Linked DNA regions of Tribolium castaneum. The protein of the gene in region 2 interacts with the protein of the main gene of each other region in a biochemical or structural test. Links are inferred from orthologs where the notes say so. Each region holds a gene or a part of one and is shown on either strand. Other genes may lie near its edges. The genes, in order: sxc and nuclear pore glycoprotein p62.

The links.
Region 1: of the proteins of nuclear pore glycoprotein p62 (region 2) and sxc, one has a biochemical effect on the other in vitro, tested with the Homo sapiens proteins (2 studies listed by BioGRID). The link is inferred for Tribolium castaneum from reciprocal best matches to the Homo sapiens genes NUP62 and OGT.

The regions. Positions count from the first base shown.
Region 1 is NC_087394.1:6,428,527-6,432,356, forward strand, and holds part of sxc (UDP-N-acetylglucosamine--peptide N-acetylglucosaminyltransferase 110 kDa subunit), read right to left. Parts: intron 2,366-3,830; coding exon 2,182-2,365; intron 2,118-2,181; coding exon 2,049-2,117; intron 1-2,048. UniProt on the Homo sapiens protein: Catalyzes the transfer of a single N-acetylglucosamine from UDP-GlcNAc to a serine or threonine residue in cytoplasmic and nuclear proteins resulting in their modification with a beta-linked N-acetylglucosamine (O-GlcNAc).
Region 2 is NC_087396.1:18,040,648-18,044,748, forward strand, and holds nuclear pore glycoprotein p62, read right to left. Parts: upstream 2,699-4,101; 5' UTR 2,597-2,698; coding exon 2,527-2,596; intron 2,475-2,526; coding exon 2,286-2,474; intron 2,237-2,285; coding exon 2,123-2,236; intron 2,076-2,122; coding exon 1,949-2,075; intron 1,434-1,948; coding exon 1,083-1,433; intron 1,035-1,082; coding exon 923-1,034; intron 820-922; coding exon 664-819; 3' UTR 612-663; downstream 1-611. Other genes in the region: ankyrin repeat domain-containing protein 12, read left to right, coding at 346-611. UniProt on the Homo sapiens protein: Essential component of the nuclear pore complex. The N-terminal is probably involved in nucleocytoplasmic transport.

The DNA.
Region 1 (3,830 bases), on a different chromosome or scaffold from region 2:
AACACAAATGTCTAATCAATTTTTAACTTTTCGATTTATTTTTACTCAAAATAATTGCATTTCTGAATAAAAAAGTGCTAAAATGCTCAAAAAAACATGCCATTTTTAACTAATTCTAGCTCAAAACAAAGAGAAGACAATGGCACTATTTGCCACAAAACTTGCATTTTTTAATGAAATTGCCGGAATTATTGAGCTTCTCTGTGTTTAAACTCAATTCTGTGTTTAAAATTTCACGTAAATGTTTTTTCTTAAAAAGGTATTCAGCGGTAAAGCATTTTAAAAAATAGTCCCAATGCAACCATTTTTCAATTATATTTTTTATAATATACGTTAAACAATTACCTCCCAAGTTTTCAGGATAAAAATATGCTTAAATGCTCAAACAAGGTTAAAACTAGACCATATTTAGTGCTTTTTTCGATTTATTTTTAAGAAATTTCTCGAATTAATTACACTTCTGAGTGAAATACTTTGTAAAACGCCCAAAAATCGCCATTTTAGTCGATTTCACGTCACATATTAACAAAATCTAGCAAAAGACCCAAAATTTTAGCACAAAACAAGTTTAATCGCAAAATAAATAAAGTATTCGACTCAAAAAAAGTCAAAATTACACAATTTCCGACACAATTGAGCTTATTTTTAACAAAATTTCTCGTAATAATTAGAGCTTAACCAATTTTTTAGCTCTGTTCTTTTCTAAAAAAAAAATATACAAATTCAGGTTTCTCAGGTGATCCAGTTTCGCTAAACAATTATATTTCAGGCGAAAAGTGTGCTAAATAGTTCGCAAAATACAATAAATACACCATATTAGTTCTAGTTTAGTGATTTTTCGACTTTGACAAATTTCACGAAATAATTACGTTTCTGAGTAAAAAACGCGAGTTCTCCTAATTTTATAAAATTGTCACGAGATGAAATATTGTCCAGCTTACAAAAAAACAGCCACTTCTTGTTTAAAATTCTTGAACTAGCAATGATCTTTGTAACACTTTTTTACATACATTTTGACTTACCTTTTTGTTTCAATAAAAATATCTCTGTAAATAAAACTGTAGTATTTACAATTAAAAAAAAAGGTATTTTTGTATTTTTTCGTTAAAACCGTTGGCTATTTGAATTAACAACATGTATTTTGCTGATTATTAATAACAAAGATATTGACTGAAAAAAACTCAGAAGAGACATTCTGTACAGTTAAATTATACAGGGTATTACAACACATTTCAAATTTACATATATCTGGAGAAATATATAAACGAAAAATCTGTAGATTAAACTGTATTGGAATTTAATAATTACCTAAAAATAAAACATTCATGACTTTAAAAAATGAAACTGAACTTTAATTAAAAATAATTGCGTGGAAGTGACTAATAATAGGTTGTTGTTCAATTGAAATGATTGCAGTATCTACAGATAAGCTGCTTTACTTTTTATAATTCATATCCATTTTTTATATTTTGTTTTAGGCTGATATTTTCTGTTACAATGACTGAATAAACAAAAGAAAAAATAGGAAGAACAACTGAAAAAAATCTACGCAGGGCACCTGAAAATTCGACAGTTATTAGTTTTTAAATAAACAATTGACGATTTTTACCTTCAAAACTAATAACTGTCTCAGAATTTAGAGAAAAATAAAATGACTGCGTCAAAAGTAACAAACTGTTCAAGTGTGATAAAAACATAATTAAAAAAAATCTTCGCAAGCTTGCACTGATAACGCATTCATCTCAGGCCAGAAAAATCGCTAGTAGCCAAAACTACTCATAAAACGGTGTGTTTCAAATGGAATTACGCAAATGCTATGTGCTAATTTTTCACTCTTGGTGTAAAAATTTAACACATTAGTAAGACGCACAAGGTGAAACTCTACGCAATGCGCACTTGGGAAAATATCAGCCTGGGTTTTTTATATTATGCCTTGTAAAATTTGTATTTTACTCAATTTTTTAATTTTGGAGATTGAAATAAATTGGAGTAGATGGAAATAGTATTCTGAAATAAATAAAACACATCATGATGATAATTGAACATACCTTGGCCTCGTCTAAACGACCTAATGCTTTTAGGAGGTTACCCAAATCGCTACGAACACAGTAGAGATCCTGTGAGGAGAGAATAATATGCACAATTTAGGCAAATATCGCTTGGAATGTATTATGTACTTACTGGATTGTACTGCAATGCGGTAATGTATGCTTGAACTGCTTGCTCCATATCTCCTGCAGCAACAAGAGCTGCAGCTAAGTTGATGTATCCATCAATAAAATCTGGTTTAAGACGCACTGCATGTCGATAATTATCGAGTGCTTCTTGCAGCTGACTTCTTTCTTTGTACACGTTGCCCAAATTACTGGAATCGAAAACGTTTTCTAAGTAAAACTGTTTCCTGCTGCAATGTAATTTACTACAAAATGACAGAGACGTGAAGTTATAAAACTATGTAAACAAGTTCGGTTTAAAAATAACTACTACAAAATTATTTAACTTGGCCATTGAATACTCAAAATTACGAACTCTGAAGCAACCAATTTTTAATTCATATTGTGAATAATGAATTTACTTTCTACAACACGAAAGTGATGAAAAGTATGTCCCAAGTTTAATGTACTGTATTAAAATATTCCAAAAATTATTCACATTCCTTAATACATAGCTTACAAAATCGCAAAAAATTCTTATCCACGAAGCCACTTTAAACAATTGTTAAACTAAATATGAACAAAGCAGCAGGAAACTTTAGCAATTCCATTTTATTCGTTAACTTCAGCATCAGATAAGACTGAACAAAAAACCAACGTTCATACCGTTGGCAGCAAGAGTACATTTCTTCTTCTGTTATAACTTATAAGTTATAAACATCAACTAACTTGATATACTTACTTAGAAGTTTTGACTCGCTTTAAAACTTTGAATTATTTAATTTTTTATGATCTATTTATTACGTAAATACAGGTTGTTTCCTCAAATTTTAAAACAAAAAATTTATAAGAAACTTAGCAAGAAGTTTAACACGATATGATATTAAAATGTTTACTACTTGAAATATTATTTACTGCGACTTTTATCTATGACAAGATTAGAGAAAACTTGTACAGATTTTTGATCCGTAGCTTTCTGTATTTACTGCTTTTCTTGGTTTCTCTTTACTATTTGAAAAAACTGATTAGAAGAGCTAAGAGAACAGCCGTTTCAAACCTTTAAACAACGTCAAAATGGCATTTGTACATTTATAAAAAGGAATAGATCACAAAAAAGACTTTTTAAAAATTTTTTAAAAAATCTGTGTAATTACAAGTAACAAATTTTGAACGATGAAAACCCATCATTAATTAAAAGAAAAAGATAATCACAAAAAGTATTAGTTCATGTTACACAAAATCAGAGAAACGACAAAATGCAAAATGTGACACATGTTTGTCAGTTTTGAATTATGTATCAGACTTTAACGATTTTCGATATTAAAATTTAAAATTCAGAAAAATAGATTAGGTCTTTATTTTCATAATAAAACATTTATTTTTAAGAAAAGTTAGATGAAATCTTCAGTACTTATTTTAATTGTTTTTTCAGAATAGCGCCAGTTATTTTAAGTATTTTAAGAAACAATAAGTAACATAATGGATTTTAATGATAGAAAATTGTACAGAAATTCCAAAAAAATTCACATGAACCGAGAAAAGTATGAAGTGTTTTAATATCAAGCCCTGATTGCCTGATTTCTGTGTGATTACTAGTTTTTGAGCTACAGTATAACCATATGCATTATCCGATTTTTTTTAATTATCATTGTCAAAATCAGGTACAAAAGTAGTTCA
Region 2 (4,101 bases):
ACAGGAAATTTAATTTTTCTGAAATATACTATACTGTTAATTGTAACTTTGATTTAGTAAAGGTAGTCCTTCATATTAACATTTTGAGGACATTTTCAGTTTAAGTGGTTGCTAAATATTTAAAATTACGCATTATATCATTTTCGTAAAAAATGGACTTACACTTCTTTAACTCGCAGGTACAGATTATCTATCGATAAACCGTTCAAGAAATCGGGCGTCAATCAATTAATACGTTATTTATCAAAAACTTTGGAATTTCAAAACGAGCAAAAGTATGAAATTACAAATTCTTTATTTTTTTAATCAAAAAGCTTTGTTGCAAGTTTACTCATATTTTTGTAGTTCCCAAAATGGATCACCACACTATCCCCAAAATCGGGTTTACGTCAACGCAGTGCAAACCCGGCACAGGTTTTCTGCCAACAATTAATACGAAAAAGGCCGTGACACTCGAACTGTGCCACGGAAACGACAAACAAGTCATATCACTGCCTGCGGATCGTCTGGATCAGAACAAGCGATACTACGTCACATTTACAGTCAAGGGGAATGAAGGAAGCCCCCCAGAGGAAGAAACAAAAAGCCACAGACATTCAAAAAGCGACTAAGTGCAATATCTTGTTAGATTTATTGTTTGATATGAGAAATTTGTACAAGGCGTTATTGTATAGAGGAAATTTTAATAAAAACGTTTTTCTTGTAAGTCTCATGTAACTGTGTAATCTGTTCCAAATGAGAGCAAATCTGAGACGAGTTTCTATCAATCCACTGGAGCGAATTCATGTGGGCATTTAGAATGCGACTGACTTGAATGACCTACAACATACACACATGATAGGATAGTGAGTCGAAACAAAAATGTGGCCAAGAGTGCTGTGAAGTAGGCAGAGCAGTCTTGACAACATTTGTTGACACAAACCGGATCAGTAATATCTTCATTTTTGTTAGACTCGTTCAAATGTTCCACAATTTCTTTCAAATCCTCGGACATTTGCTTCAATTGGGAGTCAATTATTTCAGACAATTGATACCTAAAACACCCACAGAATGTCGAATATTTTACTGTAATAAACAATTACGTTTGGAATCTATTCTGATCCGTGACTGGAATATCAGTTAATTGTTTCTCTAGAGGAAGACTCAACTCATCTAATTCATTATCTTGAGCTAATACGAAATCAAGCTCTTGGTCTAGTTGTTTCTGCTGCTGTTTCACACGCTCAATTGTTTCATTCAAGGCCAATATTTTATCAGTGTTTGAAACCAACAGGTTATCCCAAGCGTTCAGCTGTTTTGTTTGATTAATGAAGAATTTTCCTTGTTCTTCCAAGTCTATAGTCCATTTGTTGATACAGTCCTCTAGCTGAGCATAGGTTAAGGTACCAGAAGTTGGCAGACTTGCTGCTGTTGTGGTGGTCACAGCTGGCGCTCTTAAAAATTATACGAAACATATCAAAAGTGCTGTAAAAATTTCCCGGACGTATGTTCATAAACTCTTATATTTAATGAAATATCAAAACTACAATATAATACAAATCAGGAACCAGGTGGAGCATTGTCAACGCTGATTTTAAGTTTGTTAAAAAAAAAGATTTCAAATATTTTAATCAATATTTTACGCAAGATATGGTTCAAAATTTGATAAATTCGACATACAATAATAAAACGGTACGAATTAAACGCACAGTAAAAATAATAATGTCTAAGTATGCAACTCGCATATGCTCGTTGTATAACGACAGCCCTCGAACTTTAACCTAGTGTGTTCGCACTCGTATTATATGATCAAAATCGAATTTATTAATAATCTTTTTATTAGTACCCTTAATAAAATACTAGTCAAGACATACTTTAACTAAACTTTCACAGTACTCTTGATATATGTTATTATAAACTGTGACACGCATTTGCGCGGGTTAAAAGTATTTATAATTAGAGTACATACTGTGTAGTAGCTGTAAGCCCCCCTAGGCCTAAACCAGAGGCTGATGTTGTTGTTGTGCTTGAAGGGGTTAGGGTTGTGGTTAGTTTCAAAGGTGCGGAAGTTGCAGCGCTGCTTGCCAACGAAAAACCTAAATTTAAATCGTGTAAAGACTACAAAACCCTAATTTTTTTAAACCTGAAGATAGGGATGTCCCTGTGGACAAAATAGGAGTAAACGAAGTGGCAGCGGTGGTAGTGGTTGAAGCACTTGTCCCTAGACTGAACTGCGGCGTAGTCGTCGAAGTCGCAGCTAAAGTTGACTAATTATTACATAAATTTAACAAAAAAGGGTTACTAACGAGTTATTGTAAAGCTGGGAGTTGAGGTTGCGCTTGTTGTTGTTAAGCCGAAACTTACTGACGCTGTTGTTTTGGGGGTTGTACCCAGGAAAAACCCGGTACTGGTCGTAGGAGTACCGAATAGATTTGTTAGTGGTTTGTTAGGGGTTTGCTGTTTGGTATCGCCTGCACCGCCCGTAGCTGTGGTGGCTGTGTAATAAAAGGGTTAGTTGCGTTTTGGTTAGCAAAATGTCTTACGTACTGGCAATTGTGCTAGTGGTAGGTAATGTGAAACCTGTAGCCGTTTTAGGGGCACCGAAATTGAAAGACATTTTCAGAAAATTAGTTAGCTTCAAGTAGCTTCACAAAATTTATAGGTTAGCTTGACGTTAAATTTTAAAACGATGGTGGCGGCACTAGTGGCGATTGAGGGAAAGATGGATTTTTTAACCATGGCCTCATAAAATTTAGGAAGGAGGAAAATTAAGTTTCAAATTATAATCATAAGTGTCCGTTGGCGTTTCTAGTGTCATAAGCTTCCATATTCCACTTTTTTATAACAGAAGGTTTTATCTTTATTTTTGTTACCCGTAAGTAAAGTCAAAATTGTATAAAAAAAACAAAAAAAAAACAAAAAAAGTGGAGAGAATTAAATTTTCTCTAAAAAGATCCGAAAAGCCAAATTTTTATCTTTAATAATAAGTTTAAATTGTTTTAAAGTGCAAATTATTTTCCATCACTCAAACATTCAAACCATTAAAGATGATTCCGCAAACTTTTTTGTGAGAAATTTTAATCTTCTATAACTTTTTAATTTTTATATCTTAAACCCTATAGACCGCCTTTCAAAAAAATATAGGACGAAGGATAATTTAAATTTTTGTCATTACTATTTTAGTTGGTAGTTTTTCTCAGACTATTAAGAGATTAATATATTAAGATTATTAAGATGCTTACGAATCAAATTAAACAATTTGAAAAGGGGAAGATCTACAGTGTCTCAAATCGCTCTCATTTAAACTCCACCCTAAATTGGTGAGTTACAGTGGAACTCGGTTATAACGAACACTCAAGGGACTTCAGAATTTGTTTGTTATGTATTATACCCGATCGTTTGTTTTATCCGAACATCGTCGTTTATAGAATAGTTTTCAAGTCAACTGAATTCTAAACGTGAAACAGATACACGAAATAAAGTATTAATTTAATTTATTAGAAAAGCATATTTATCTACATTCATCTATGTTTAATAGTTATCTAACAATTCAATAATTTTTAGTTTCGTATCCTAAATTTAAAGATTTCTAATTACTTGGTCTGTTTATGTGCCTGCTGGAATGTCGCTGTAAGTGCATGTAAGTGCTGTAAGTGCATGTGCGTACGTTATAACTTATAACTTATAACCGAGTCCTAGACCACTTTTTTGTCTAAATTTCGAACGTTAAAAGTGAAGTTCATATATTCACTATAACCGAACTAATTTGTTATTGTAGTGTATTAAGTACTGTACCTATATAGAAAAGGCTGAGTGAGGTAGGGGGAAGCAAGTAGGAGAATGACGAACGGGCACTCTTGCTTGTCCCGTCGTGGTGTTAGGAGTGAATAAACAATTATTTGGGGAAAGTGGTATTTTATTTAAAAAATATTACAGTTATTATAATATAAATATAGGGCTTTAAAATATGAGTTTCCATTTCTTCGTTAAGTTGCTTCCACACCAAAGCTGATTTGGTGTGGACATGCCGCTCGGCCATAAGTTACATGCCACCGTTACACGTAAAAAAAGCCGATCATGCCGATTAAGCTTGCCAATCGGACTTGCCGATCGTCATAGTGT